2 linked regions of the Astyanax mexicanus genome follow. The protein of the gene in region 1 binds, or shares a complex with, the protein of each later gene. Links are inferred from orthologs where the notes say so. Each region holds a gene or a part of one and is shown in the gene's direction. Other genes may lie near its edges.

The links. Proteins that work in one complex are often made in the same cells at the same time.
Region 2: prpf3 (region 1) and smx5 share a complex: the UniProt entries of both Homo sapiens proteins name them as parts of the precatalytic spliceosome. The link is inferred for Astyanax mexicanus from reciprocal best matches to the Homo sapiens genes PRPF3 and LSM2.

The regions. Positions count from the first base shown.
Region 1 is NC_064413.1:15,653,848-15,661,689, forward strand, and holds the start of prpf3 (U4/U6 small nuclear ribonucleoprotein Prp3), read left to right. Parts: upstream 1-4,792; 5' UTR 4,793-4,966; intron 4,967-7,842. UniProt on the Homo sapiens protein: Plays a role in pre-mRNA splicing as component of the U4/U6-U5 tri-snRNP complex that is involved in spliceosome assembly, and as component of the precatalytic spliceosome (spliceosome B complex).
Region 2 is NC_064412.1:47,970,567-47,978,620, reverse strand, and holds the start of smx5 (smx5), read left to right. Parts: upstream 1-5,022; 5' UTR 5,023-5,121; coding exon 5,122-5,124; intron 5,125-6,493; coding exon 6,494-6,561; intron 6,562-7,287; coding exon 7,288-7,318; intron 7,319-7,410; coding exon 7,411-7,470; intron 7,471-8,054. Other genes in the region: inpp5d (phosphatidylinositol 3,4,5-trisphosphate 5-phosphatase 1), read left to right, coding at 588-1,078, 1,656-1,705. UniProt on the Homo sapiens protein: Plays a role in pre-mRNA splicing as component of the U4/U6-U5 tri-snRNP complex that is involved in spliceosome assembly, and as component of the precatalytic spliceosome (spliceosome B complex).

The DNA.
Region 1 (7,842 bases):
CTTTGAGAGTAAACGGCAGTGTGCTGTGTGGTTATTCTGGTGAGGCAGTGTTTTGTATTGTGAGCTTGGTGAGGAATTGGCAATGTGTTGTATGGTGAGCTTGGTGATGAGTTGGCAGTGTTTTGTATGCTAAGGTTGGTGAGGAATTGGCAGTGTGTTGTATAGTGAGCTTTGAGAAGAGTTGGCATTGTGTTATGTGGTTATTGTGGTGAGGAATTGGCAGTGTGTTGTATGGTGAGCTTGGTGAGGAATCGGCAGTGTGTTGTATGGTAAAGCTGGTAAGGAATTGGCAGTGTGTTGTATGGTAAGCTTAGTGAGGAATTGGCAGTGTTTTGTATGGTAAGCTTAGAGAGGAGTCGGCAGCGTGTTATGTTGTTAATGTGGTGAGGAATTGGCAGTGTGTTATATGGTGAGCTTGGTGAGGAATCGGCAGTGTGTTGTATTGTGAGCTTGAAGAGGAGTTGGCAGCGTGTTATGTGGTTAATGTGGTGAGGAATTGGCAGTGTGCTGTATGGTGAGCTTGGTGAGGAATTGGCAGTGTTTTGTATGGTGAATGTGGTAAGGAATTGGCAGTGTTTTGTTTGGTGAGCTTGGTGCAGAATTGGCAGTGTGTTATATAATGAGCTTGGAGAGTAAACGGCAGTGTGCTGTTTGGTTAATGTGGTGAGAAATTGGCAGTGTTGTGTATGATGAGCTTGGAGAGAAGTTGGCAGCGTGTTATGGGGTTAATGTGGTGAGGAATTGGCAGTGTTTTGTATGGTGAGCTTGGAGACGACTTGGCAGTGTGTTATGTGGTTTATGTGGTGAGTAAATGGCACTGTTCTGTATAGTGAGCTTGGTGAGAAAATGGCAGCGAGTGGTGAGGAACTGCCAGTACATTATATGGTGAGCTTTGTGAGGGTTTGGGAGTGCATTATGTGGTGAGCTTGGTGAGGAATTAGCAGTGCAGTGTATGTTAAGCTTTGTGAAGAATTGGCAGCGTATTGTGTGGTTAATGTGGTGAGGAACTGACATTGCGATGTATGGTGTGCTTGGTGAGGATTTGGCAGCATATTATGTGGGGAGGAATTGGGCTGGGTTGAATTTGAGTGAGTGGGGGAAGGGTGTAGACTGATGCAGTGCCTGTGCCCAACCAAAACCCTCCACACACACGCGATCTGTCCACACTGCCAGTCATTAACCCAGCACCCAGAGAGGGAGGGAGGGAGATTTAGAGAAGGAGAAAGGGGAAAGGGAGAGAAAGCAGCTGCAGAATTTGGTTAGGAACCCTGTTTGTTGCTTGTCTTCTGTATTACCTACTTTTTTAAACAAACTGTTTTTTCTCAGTCCATTTAAACTCTATTTTGCACTAAATTCATTCTATATAAAAACTTAAGCTATGCTCAGATTACAGGCAAATTGGATTTGTTGTTTGCAAATTATTATGAACAGTGCGGATGTAGCCAAAATTGCACCAACAGACCATTTTAAACTCTTATGTTTTTGTGAAGTCATAAAATCCATTGTAACTCTGTCCATTCATATAAGAAGTAAGGAGTGTTTTGGCTCAGCCACAATTTGAATCATTTGATTGTTATTCTGTTTATTTATTTTTAGAATCTTTGTCTCATAATCTTACAAAGTTTCCTTACTCTTTAACGGAATCTATAAGAAATAGTCCGTTACCATCAGTCGAGCATGATGTGCTGGACATGTTCATTATGTTTACTTTTTTGTGACAAATCTTAAAACAGTATGGACACTACATTGTGGTGTGGTACAGTATGTAGTGTGGTATATTAGTTAGTTACTGGGTAGAGTACACTAGAGGGGGTGAGGAGTGGGCCTGGTGTGGTGTTGTAAAAGATAAATCCCGCAGTATGTGTATAAAGAGGGGAGGAGTGTAAAATTCAGCAGAATGAGGAGCATAGCCCGGGGCTCACACTACTACTACTGCTACCACATGACCCACATCAGAGGAAGACAGAGGGAGGGGTGGAATGAATGATGAATGTGCAGCAGATTAATTGGTTGATCTCACGTGCTCCCATGTGCTGCTAAAATCTATTGAGAGTCACTAGGCGTGTTTACTACGAAAGTAAGAAGCCAAATTTATTCATAAAGCCAAGGACTCACTCACAAGGACTTTTCTATACTCAGTGAAGCAATCTCCTGCAAGAGCTCGACTGCACACTAGTGGACGATTTGTGGAATTGATTATTGGAATTCAGCGTTGTGTCTAAATTTTATGCTAAGGAATTCATACAATCCTATCCACCCTTCCCTAAACCTATGGAGAAATTCCTGCTGCTATATTCAACTTATCCTCATTATTAATAATCACAATAATTGTTACTAATAATTTTCCCTCAACCCTAGAAAGAAAGGTTTATCACTCTGTTAACCCTACCTTAACCCTAAGGATGAATTCTAAATGATTCTAAGGAAACAAATAATTTTTACTATTTATTTAGCCCATCCTCACCTGTAGTACTTCACAATGCCCTCTTAACCCCTCCTCAATGCTTACTACTGAGGAATTAATACTAGCCTATTAATACAGGTAATGAGTGCAAAGAAAAAGAACAGGTCTGTGAAAGTGAGAAATCTTGCTGGTTAATATGTTCTCAAAAACTTATTTTATGCAATGAAATGCAAATTAATTATTTAAAAATCATTTAGTGTGTTATTTTCACAGTACAAGTGTACCTGCAATAGAAAATACAAACCTCTCCATTCTTTGTAGGTGGAAAACTTGCTAAATCTGCAAAAAAACTGAAGAAGAACAAAAAAGAAATATAGAAAGAGAAATCTGCGTTACTGAGACTGGTTAGGATATAGGTAACAATGGTAACAGAGCTTTTGCAAATTGCCAGTTTTTGTAAATAGTCTTCAGGCGGCCCAACCACAGATCTGACTGTTTACTGCAGAGCTGGTCTTCCATTACAGATACACACAAAAGAACAACAAAAATGACAGAACGAGAAATCTTTGGTTAGCGAGATTAATTAGAGTATGTGTGTGGTTAGAGAGTCTGTTAGTTGGAGAGACTGATTAGATAACAATAGTAACAAAGCCAGTCTGTGTGAACAGTTGTCAGACTGCGCAACCACAGATCTGACTGTTTAGTGCAGAGCTGGGGCTCTATCACAAATATACACAGAAAAAAATAATAGAAAAAGAATTTGTGGTTAGCGAGACTGGTAATATATGTGCGGTTAGAGAATCTGTTAAGTTAAAGAGACTGTATATGTAAGAATAACAGAGCTTACCGGTTTTTAAGAACAGTCGTCAGAGGGCCCAACCACAGATCTGACTGTTAAGTACAGATCTGGGGCTCCGTCACAGTATAGAGTATATAACAAAATACATTTCTCTGATTATGTTTTAAATATGTTTTAATCTATTTCATTCTTTATTTATTTGACATTATTCTTTATTTTAACTGAGTCATGCTGCTTATGAGGTCCTATTAAACTATTATAATTGGGTCTTTTGATTGTACTGTAATATGATAATAAATAAGCAGAAGAAATTGCCTGGTGTATGTTGGCATCACAATGCTCCAGCACTTCCTGGTAGCTGGACCACAAAACGTGTGAAAACCTGCCATGTCATTTTAACCTGTGGTTGAATTCAATGCTTTTTGCAGGGATTATGGGTAATCTGTTTTCTACTGCAATCTTAAATCACCTAGCCCAGGGGTGTCCAAACTACGGCCCGCGGGCCATTTGCGGCCCGTTTCCTTTTTTGGAGCGGCCCGCGAGGTATTTTAGAAATAGAATAAAAGTTGGCCCGCTGTTAAGCAGGTTTTTATAATGTGAGATTTAAAGTTTGAACGCTAGGTGTCAGAAACGGTCAAAAGAGTCTAAAAGCAGAGAGGGTGCGCATTTCTTGAGCAGAAAAATGGGCAAAAGAGTCTAAAAGCGGAGAGGGTGCACATTTCTAGCGAAGAAAAACGGGGCAAAAGAGTCTAAAAGCGAAGAGGGTGCGCATTTCTAGCGCAGAAAAACGGGGCAAAAGAGTCTAAAAGCGGAGAGGGTGCGCATTTGTAGCGCAGAAAATCGGGCCAAAGAGTCTAAAAGCAGAGAGAGTGCGCATTTCTAGCACAGAAAAGCGGGCCAAAGAGTCTAGAAGCGGAGAGAGTGCGCATTTCGAGCGCAGAAAAACGGGCCAAAGAGTCTAAAAGCGGAGAGAGTGTGCATTTCTAGCGCAGAAAAACTGGCCAATATGTGTAAAAGCGGAGAGGGTGCGCATTCCTAGCGCAGAAAAACGGGCCAAAGAGTCTAAAAGTTGCCGTAATTAAGGAGTTTAATATTAAGAGACATCATGAAATTAAACATCAATTTGGAAAATCCTAGTTTACACAACACTGTCAAAGATAAAGATAGTAAGTCAAGTAAAATGGAGTTTAAATTAAATAATCAGGAAAAAAATATTATTTAAAGTGATATATTTCATTATTTGTTTTATTACAGAGTGTGGCCCGTGACTTCAAATATATTTCTATTTCTGGCCCCCAACAAAAAATGTTTGGACACCTCTGACCAAGCCTTGAACAAAATAGCTATTTGTCCATTGCCATGCACCGTAATTACACCATAATCATCAGCAATAAAATAACTAAACACTTAAAATAGATCACTCTGTGTGCGTTTCACATTTTGAACTGCATTACTAAAATAAAGTAATTTTCAATGATATTCTAGGATTTATTCTAGACACACTAGTACTGTTCCCCTCTGTACTGATAATAGTGCGGCGCCACAGCGGCAGGGGGCGAGGTGCGAGTTCTCTGAGCGGAATCGCTGCGTCTCCGTTTCCGACTGACACAACGTTTTGTGTGCGAAGCGGCTGTTGGAAAGTTGGAGAAACATTTCTACTGTTTTAGAGCTGTCCTGCGCTAAACGCGGGCTGTAGTTCACGGAGCGTTTAATATTACACCGCTGCACTTAGGGCGGAATCGATAACTGAGAGGAATTAGCTGGTAAGTGTGTGAAATCCTCTGTATTAAACAGTAGCGGGAGTTTGAAGCGTGGATGACTGTTAGCTAATGTTAGCTTAGCCTGAACAACACGAGACCTCTCTCCCTAAAGCGATATTACTCTTCTTTAATATCGCCTGTGGTATTAATTAATTGCACTATTTAATTAGTTATATTCGCTTTACCAGCAGTACTGAGCTGCTAACCACAGTAGTTTAGCGAACTCCTTAACGCTAGCTATGTAAGCTAATAACAGCCCAGCCCAGTGTTTGGTATCTAGGTTAGCTATGCTAGCTAACAGCAGGCTAGCAGCTGAATTTGTAGCTTAGTTATGTTTTCTAGGCCTGGAGGGGATTTTTGTTTTTCAAAAACACACAGAGAAACCTACACGGTGTTTTATTATATAAAACGCATCAACGTAGACTCCAATTATGCGATTTATATCATAAGTGTTGGTCCTGTACTGTGGCTAATCAGTCAGAACTAACCCAATAAGCTTTAGCGAAGCTACGTAGGTTACTTGGATTAGAGCCAGTTCCTTTATCCATATTTTATCAGTGAGAGAGCTGTGTGGGCTTAGTATGTGTGTTATTTTCTTATCTATTCAATGATAGATGTTTCAGAGACGTTACTATCTTTGTTAGATCTTTTAAGTCTGCAAAAAAATGGTTGACGTCATGTTTGTGCGTAATGTTTAATGTATTTTACTAAATTTATGATTATAGTCGAGTGAGCTTTAAACTATCTAGGTTAGCATGATGTATTGTAAATGTCCTGGTACACAATTTGTGCACACATGTTTTTTGCGGTCTGTTTGACACCAGAATGGTTTATGCTGTCCAGACACTACACGACTTTGAAAAGACTTAACAGTCTAAAGTCTGACACCCTCGCACCTCTAAAGACTAATCACAGACTTTTTACTCACATACTTTTTACTGACATGTTAAGATTTTGCAAAGACTGGGGGTCAGTAATTGCAAAACTGCAACTATATTTTTTCTGGTGGACCTTATATACAGTACATATTGCATATTAATCTACAAACAATGTGCTCATCGATACTGTGATTTATTAGAGACTCACAATGTTTGTGCCCATCAACAGTTTCTTTTTCTGCAACACTGTTAGTTCTTTATATTTTTTTAATAAAACACATTTTGTGTTCAACTCTGCCTGTAAGCTTCTTCTGCCCTATTTTTGCCATAAAGATCATCATTCTTGCAAGATGTGTATTTATTAATTATAAGTAGTGCAAAATGAAATAACTTTAAAAAATAATGACTAAAGTGCTACCTGTGTTTTAAAATACTGTACTTATTAAAGTAAGAACCATATAAGGCATATTAACTGCAAAATGTCTTGTTCTTCATGTCTTTTATGAACAGTCATGTAAAATATTCATGCCTTGCGGCTTCCCATAGCTCTTCTGTTATTGGTTGTTGACATTGTTCACCTCACTATTTGCGTGAGCCATGTCTCAAGATATGTGATAATATTAAACACGGTTGATTTGATCTGAATGCAGGACTCCAAATAGACTAATTACAACTTTCAATCCACTTAAACTGAATGCTATAACAACTGGACTACAGCTTCACTCTAGCAAGACTCGTGATTGTAACCCGACTGGAAATTTGTCTGCGACAGTGAGATTGCTTGACAATCACTTGTTTCAAAAACTGAGCTCAGTTTTTGAAACAAGGACTTAACAAGGACTGCAACAATTAGTCGACTTTATTGACAGTGTCAAATATAAACAATTGTCTGATATGCACTATATACAAAATGCTGGCCATAGAAACCTATTGGAGGCAGAGATGTATAGTAAAAAAGTTGAATTGCTTAACTACTGTATTTAAGTAGTAAATGTGGTATCTGTATCTGCTGGAGTATTTTTTTTTCTTCTTACACTTTTATTTCACTACATATTTTTGATAAGTTAGGTACTTTTACTCGGATCATTTTTTTAAGTGCTGCATCGTTGCTCTTTACAATTACAAAAAGTTACAGATTGTTCCAAACCCACATTATCACTAAAGCCAGAGCGGTAGACACACAACACTGTCACCAGGATTGATGAAGCTGCCTCATCATTGAGTGAATCAAGCAATCAAGCTTTTTTTATAAAAACTTTCAACTGCTTGCCGTAATAACTACATAACACTATTTGTATTTTAGTTTCAGTACTTTTGTGCTTGCAATAATTAAGTCCAAAAACTGTTCTTTAGTACTTCTACTTAAGTGTGGTGCTTAAAGAACACTTCAAATTCTACTCAAATGATTTATTTTCTTGTACTTTATACATCTCTGATTGGAAAAGGAATTAGGACTATTCACTCACCATGTTTACCAAAAATGACAGGCACAACAGATACATATCAACATATTTCCGCATAATGTCTTTAAAACATTTAAAGGGCATTTGTCCCACATTCAGCTTTTTGTGTAATTTTAAAGCGATAGAGAAAGGTATGAACAGGAGGTATACCTGCATACCCACTGGAAGCAAAGATGGAGAGCATGGCAGGAAAAAAAAATTGACAAATTGACAAAAAAAGAATCAACAGTCGACTTCTAAAATAATCACAAGTTATAGCTCTGAATCCAACCCCACTGTACTCATAGTAATGGAAGGGCAACTGGTAATTCGAGGACACTGATACAAAACAAATGAGACAGTTATGTCTCTCAATCATCTGCAGACAAGTTACTGTCAACAAATGTTAGGGTTTCTCTCCACCTGAAGACAGGGTACACTAATGTGGTGTTAATATAATCAAAATGGCTCCCAGCCATGCCAGTGGGACGAACGCAAAAAAATATATATATATTATTGTGACAACAAATTGATAGTCAGTTTGGGCAAATAATTTTGC
Region 2 (8,054 bases), on another chromosome or scaffold:
TAATTTTTGTATTTCTTTTCTACGTTGTAAATTAATACTTAATAAAAGTCATTCAGACTATGAAGGAAGTGAAGCATTTAGGTGCTCTTATCTGGGGAGCTGTTAACTTGTGGTGGTGAGACTGGTAACTTTGATGAACTTATCCTGTACAACAGAGGTAACTCTTGCTCCTTCTGTCCTGGGGCAGTTCTGATCAGTTTCATTATAACATTTTTAAGGTCTTTGCAACTGCACTTACGGATACATTTAGTTCCTAAAAAGTTCTTAAAAATATAGTATCATTTTATAAAATCCACTGACATGCCAAAAGTCATGGGACAATAACTAAGAACTAGTCTCATGTTCCATGGAAGGTAAAGAGTGCCAACCTCACTCCAACTCCCATAATTCACTTGGCCTTACCTTGAGCAAGCTGACCAGTGTTCCCAAGCCAGCTGTCTCCTGAGGTCACACTTCATGGTCATATGCATGATATACATTGATTTATACTGCTGTCCTATGACTTTGTCATTGTACTTTGTATGCATGTTTGTTTCTTTTATCCAAATTATGAAATATATATAATTTTTTTTTTTATTTCATGTTAGATCGGAAGATGGTCAGCCTCCGGAGATGTTTGATAATCCTCTTTATGGCTCGATGGGAAAATCCCAAAGTAGTAAGGATCAGGAGAATCCCCGAAAAGCCCACCTTACCCCTCCAGAAATTTTTGCGTTTCCCAAACCCCCAGATACCGACAATGACCGCCCCCCTCCTGTCCCAACGCCCCGCAACCGCTCCTACACCTGCTCCGACAGCAAACCGTCTTCCCCCGCCTCCACCACCACCGCCAGCATCGGCAGCAACAACAGCCTGCAGCCTCAGTCCTACTCCAAGAAGCCTGTGGTGCCCTCTCGCTCTGACGCGGGCATGATGGCAGCTGGGAAGCCTCCTCTGCCAATGAAGTTCCGCCCCGGCCAACCGGACTCCCAGCCCCAGCCCCAGCCTCAGCCTAAACCCCGGGACTACAGAGACACAGCAGAGTTACCCAGCAAGATACGACTGCCTACAAGACTCGTCCAACCACTGCCGAAGGATGGTATGATGCAATAACTGAGCATTTATTGTACATTACAATTTATTTGATGAATTTAGCAAATAAGAGAAGAATATAGTCCTTCTGGTGGTGGTGTATAAGGTGTTAGTGTGTGTTGTGCTGGTACAGTGAGTGGATCAGATGCAGCAGTGCTGCTGGAGTTTTTAAACACTGTGTTTAATCTCTCACTGTCCTCCACTCTATTACACACTCCTACCTACAGCTGCTCCACCCTGTAGATAAAGTAAAGTCAGAGACTGAAGATCTGAATCTGTTTCTGCACAGTTTACAGTGTTGATCATCCTCTAGTCCTTTATCAGTGCACACAGGATGCTGCCGACAGGACAGTATCAGTAGACTTTTCTCAGTCTATAGTGATACTGAGGTGTTTATAAACTCCAGCAGCACTGCTGTATATGGTCCACTGTACCAGCACAACATACACTAATATCTCATACACCACCATCATAATGCCATAACGACCCACCACCCAAATAATAATAATAGCTGTGTATAAATACCACTGCTACTACAACTAATAAAAATAATATTAAAAATGCTGATTTCTCTCTATTTACAGGACATCATGAGACTCCACAGCTTTCCAAGATGGGTCGCCAGCTGAAATAGATCTCTACATTTTTCTCCTCTGAAACAATGTTATTCTTACTGTACAATCCCACCCAAGTCACACAACATTTCAGATGCAAAAAAAAAACAAAACCAAGAAGCCTAGAGAATCCTCGCTTATCTGATCTTCCTGATATCCCACTCTGATCTTGCACAAATGTTTTTTGAAAATGTTTTTTGTTTGTTTTTTGTGAATGTACAGCTGTTTTATCTGCTTTTATTTTGGGGGGATTTTGTTGCATGGTGCATCATGATACGCAGCACTTGTTTATCACAAAGACAGAAAGATAATATCCAGATTATGTCAGGATAGTTTGTTCAGTTCCCTCTTGGCTATGGTAAACTGGACCACTGGACAAGGTGTTTAGAAACCACACAGAAAACAGAAAGGTTCTAAAGATTATTTGGTTCTGTGCAAAACTGGAACTTAAGCTCTATCCGGATGGGATTAGTTTCTCAGGGGGTCCTGGGGTAATTTTCTCTTTTATGGGGGGGTCCTCTGTGATTTTATTCCCATCCGGAACGACCAAGTATGTGAAAGTTGCAGGCTGAATAACCTACTGGTTTTTGCTGAACTCTGTGGTCCTCTGTGGTAATTGTATTCCTGTCCGGCTGCACATCCCCTCCGGATAGGGCTTAAGTAATAATAAATAGGGTTGCACCGAAAAATTTAACTAAACAAATCATTTGACTGAATTTTTTTTTCACGTTTTTAAACTTTTTAAAATGTTTTAAACCTGTCAAAAACAGGCACCGCATATTGACAGATGCAGAAGCTTCATGACCCATGAGATTCTAACAGTACTACATTAACTTAAAGCCATATAGAGACACAGAAAGCTACAGTACATCACATGTAATACTGAGTTATCTCAGCTAATGTTACTATCCTAGCCCTGTACAGCTCATATATGTCAGCTGGAAAACAGATAGTTTGTAAATAAATGGTGAACTGAGTAAACTTATAGTGAGTGTAACAAGTTAGTGAGTGTAACAAGTTTGTCTCTCCCCGTCGGCTCTCTCCCTCACTCTCTGCACTGTGTACAGCAGTGCTCTGATGTACAATGCTATTGTGTGGGCCTCCTGGAGGAAACCCGGCAATACCAATACTTTTTTTTGCCATTTTTAGCTAAATAATTAAATTTTGCAGAACATTTGGTGCATCCCTAATTATTACTGATATGTAGTAATGATGACTGATCCTAAGCTATGGTACACTGGACCATTCACCATGTGTTCCCAGACTGAGTCTTGGTAGAAACTACACAGAAAATTGCAGCTCTAAAGTTTTGTGGTAAAGTGGAACCAAGTAATGATAATATTTATAGAAATTATTAGTCCTGCAGAGAATCCTCTATTAATATCCACTGTTAATAATTCACCCACTTTCCAGCAGCTGTGATCAGTTCAGTTCTCCATTGGTTACCTTCTGCATTGAAATGTTGCATTAAAATCATAAGAAATGTGTCTGTTTGTCTGCTGTCTGTTTCCCCTTTTAGCTTTCTGCTGCTAATGATAACTTGGGACGGTAAAGCATTTTCCACTTTATAATCTTGACATACTTTCTCACACTTAAAAGAGATTTTGGAAGATTGTTAATTAGTACTATATACTGTACCCCCCTTATCCCTGCTGTAATTCCTGTGTGATTTTTAACTTTATTTATCAAAATATTTATATTTTAAATCTAGTTTCTGCTAATTTTGTATTAATTATTTACATATAAAAAATGAGGATAAATTGAGGGCACTTGAGGATACTCTCAAAGTTGTTGAAATGTTTCAGATTGACTGACCTTCATCACCTTCAGTATTTTTTTCTTTAATTACTTGAGTAGTTCTTGCCATAATACGAATTAGAACATTACTCATATAGTGCTATTCACTGTATACCAACTCTACCTCTTGCTCTCAAACACATTAAGAGTCAAGAAATTCAAGTAATTAACTTTTTCTATCAGTATGTTCTTACATACATCAATTGTAACTCATTACAATAATTGTTTAACAAGGTTAACTAAAAGAAGAAAACAGGAAAAATATAAATTACACCCCACACGCACACTCCTATACCCACAAAGGTCAGGCAAGAACAAAATAATATACATTCATAAATAAATGTTACTTAAAAAATGTGAATGTATTATTAATAAACAAGGTATGCATACATATAAACAAGGGAAAATTCTGCACTACTTTGCACAAGCACATTAAGGTTATTAATTACTTCATACATCAATTCTTATTTAGTAATATAGGTAGTGAAAAATTTCCCCCTGAACTGCTTTGAATATCTTAAACTTTGTCTTAAATTAAAGAGAATCTTTTCAGATATAACATTTTCCATAGTTTTCCATAGTTTTTGCATTTTAATGCAGTTTAATGAACCTAATGTTAGATTATGCCTAGCTCATGCCTAGCAGGGTCAGCTGTGGGCTCAAAAAGTAATTACCTCTTGAGGACACACAGCTGAGACTCTTAAAAAGTCTCCCTCATAAAGCCGACTGGGAAATTGGAGAGATGTGCAAAGCTGACATTTAAGCAAGAGGTTGCTAAAATATAAAACATATTCTGGTTTGCTTAATACTTTTTTGTTTTTACAGATTGGATGATTTTAATATTAATCTACGATGCAGATACATTTACAAATATTTTAAAGCGAGAATATTTAACTATTTTTTGTTGTACTTATAATAAATCGTAAAAATGGTCATTGTATCTAATTTCATGGATCATTTGTGTACATTAAAAGTAACCAACCAGATACATGATTAAATACTTAAAATAAATAATATAAACTCATAATGTTGTTTTTACTGAAACCTTTAAAGAAAAAAAGCGAAATTAAACTTGTTTAGACGATTTACGTAAAAGCCGGAATGGTGAGGGATTACTGTGACAATGCCGCCACCTGCTGGTGAGAACAGGATCACTACCAATAGCGCTGAATTCAGAAAAAGAAGTTTAACAAAAAACAAATCAAAATATAATCAAAATCTGGTTTATAATTTAATAAATTAAATTAATAAATAATTCTTCATCAATACAGCAATAACCCCCTTCCCAATTTATCACAAACTAACTAAAGTCACCGACACCTGCCCGACATTTTATTTTATAACTATATGAGTTAAAATAAAACTACATATTTATTTATTATTATTATATTCATCCTAAATTTGGCTAGCCCTCAAAAATGACTTTGGACCAACTGTTTTTTAGACATGAAGAGAAAAATACATCTTAAATTATTTTTGTGATTCTCTTATTTTGAAATCCTCAGATAAGCCTCACATGAATGGCGACAGCAGAGTCAACCAATAAGCATCGAGGATAAATCTGCGGCTAATTAACCTGACCAATAGCGAAGCAGCTTGCTCAGGTGTAGGATTCTACGGGCACAAAGAGCGCGTGAAGATGGTGAGTTTATTTTATTTTAGTTTAATGTTTATATTTATCTGTTTAAAGCGCAGAGACGGGGTTTTACACAGTTATAGATGTTCTAAAAGTGTTTAAATGTGAGTGGTTTAGGCTTAGTAGTGCTGTAACACTGTAACTTAGTCGTTATTAGCCTGTGTTTGTGTTCAGCTGTAAGTCAGTCCATTAAACCGGTTTAATTTTATATTTAATCAGAAATCCATGCTCTGCTTTTTATGTGGAGGAATTTTAGAAACTCAGCGACAACCTGTAACTAATATTCCACACTTTTAACCTACTCTAACCTACATACAGTACCAGACACACCTCTTCTTATTAAGTGTGTTTTCTTTCTTTTTAGAAATTTTTTACGTTGTAAATTTAATATTATAAAGACTATATTCAAGCGGTACAGGATCACATGCAGAATAAATAAACAAAAAGTGTTAAACAAACCAGAATATGTTTTATACTTCAGACTTTTTAAACTCGCAAATTGATTTCAGTTTAGCACATCTAGGATAGATCTGCACACTCTTTGTATTTTAATCTCAGTGTCTTCATGAGGGAGAGTCACCTGGAATAGTTTTCTCAGCGTCTTGAAGGAGTTTCTGGAGGTGCTGAACAATAGTTGCTGCTTTTTCTTCACGCTGTAAAGCTCCAGCTCAAATCACAGTCTCAGTTGGTCAGGTTTAGATTAGGGGATTGAGGAGGACTAATAGTTTGTATAGTGCCATAATAGTTTTCATATCTTTAATGTTAATCTACAATGTAGAAAATAAGTAAAGCGAGAAATTAAGAAAAACCCAGAATCAGAAGGTGTGTGCAAACCTTTGACTGGTACTTTACATAATTAAATACATAATTTCGTGCATGCGTGCGTGTAAACCCACTGGTGATTCAATTACTTATTTTTTTTTTTTTACAGAAAAATGCATTAAATAATCCTGTCCTTCAGTAAAAAGAGCTAAAGCAGGCTTTTTAAAAATAGAGTTAGAAGTAAAGTACTAAAGTATTTAACTAGTATAGTATACTGATCTTCACAAACAAATGTATTAACATAATTAGAATAAATCTGTTTAAGTGTAAACATAATAGACCTGCTATTCTTTTTAAGTATCTCAAAAAGGGTATTAAAAGTATTTTAATTTCTTAAAGTAATAACAGAACGACTAATTGTTGTTTGGCTAGGAGTACTTTAACCTTTTGTGTAATGATGTTATGTTATTATTATTATTATTATTTTATATATATATATATATATATATATATATATATATATATATATATATATATATATATATATATATATATATATTTATTATTATTATTATTATTATTATTATTATTTTTATTTTAATTTTTTTTACAGCTTTTCTACTCATTCTTCAAGTCCCTGGTGGGTAAAGACGTGGTGGTGGAGCTAAAAAATGACCTGAGGTGAGTGAAGTGCATTGTGTCCTGTCGACTCATACTTAAATTTAGTCTCATGGTTAATTAAACAATTTACCTTTTGATAGCAGTTAATAGAGGATGGTTTTAATAAAGGTTAGATGGTATACAGTGCTGGAGTTAACCAGTTTGGCATAGACTCTTATGCTGCTTTCATCACACAGACTGGAGAGTTGGACTTATATGCCCACCTATGAAATAAATAAATAATGTATATATATATATATATATATATATATATATATATATATATATATATATATATATATATATATATATATATATTTTTTTTTTTTTATTACTATTATTATATATATAATTTTTTTTTATTATTATTTATTTATTGGAGACTACACAGCTTACAAGATTGTTTGAATGGTTCTGAAATGTTAAAGGCACAAAGCATTGTAAATGTGTTTAAAACCATTTTATACAAGATATTAAAATAAAAAATACTGTTACATATCACACCTGATGCACAGGTTACCATCTGCCTGTAATTACTAAATTACATATATATTTTTGTCAATTTAAATACACTGGGCACTGTGGTTTTAGTGTAAGGGTATACTTAAGTAAAGTGCATTAAGTAATGGGCCATTTTAGTACCAGAGTTCTGTGTATTGTGAACATGTGAAAATGCATAGAATGACTTGAGTTTAGTTGAGTTTCCTTGGCCTGTTTACTAACTTTAAAATTGTGTAAACATTGCAGCATATGTGGCACACTTCACTCTGTAGATCAGGTATGTAAAACTATGCAATATTCTATATTTGCCGTTTTTAATGTTGGCCTCTGTTTGTAATGAAACTGTTGTTTTTTTTTGTTTTTTTGCAGTATCTGAACATCAAACTCACAGACATCAGCGTCACTGATCCAGAGAAGTACCCACACATGGTGAGAAACACTTACTGCTGGCAGTGGATTAATCCAGTGTCCTGTAGGGCTGGATTTAGCCTTTTCATACAGCCTTCATCTGCACTGTTGCTGTAACTGTTAATTTAGGGTTAGTAAGTGTGTTTGAGCAGAGTAGTGCAGTATGTGCGGGATGCAGTCCTTCTGTTCCCCACCCCTTGATTAAACCATGGCCTGACTTGTGATGCTGTGCATTTTTACCTCCCCTTATTTAAAATATAGAAGAGATTTTGTTTGGGGGAAATAATAGAAACGGTGTGTTCCATCCATCCACCTACTCACCCACCCATTTATTAAAAATGTGAGATTGCACTTTTTGATAATTCATATCCTTACCTTCAAAAATTGTACCAAAAGAAAAAAAAAACAAAAACATATGGAGTGGTCCACATAGAAGAACTAAATCTACTGGTACATTACTTTTAAAATATACAATGACATCTAGTGGTTGTTAGTAGACTAACAACTAAATTCTTCTCTGCCTTCAGTGACACCCTTTTAACTACTGGATATATTATTCTGTATGTTTGTCTCTGCCTTTATAATATTTATCAGTGTTCTGCTGC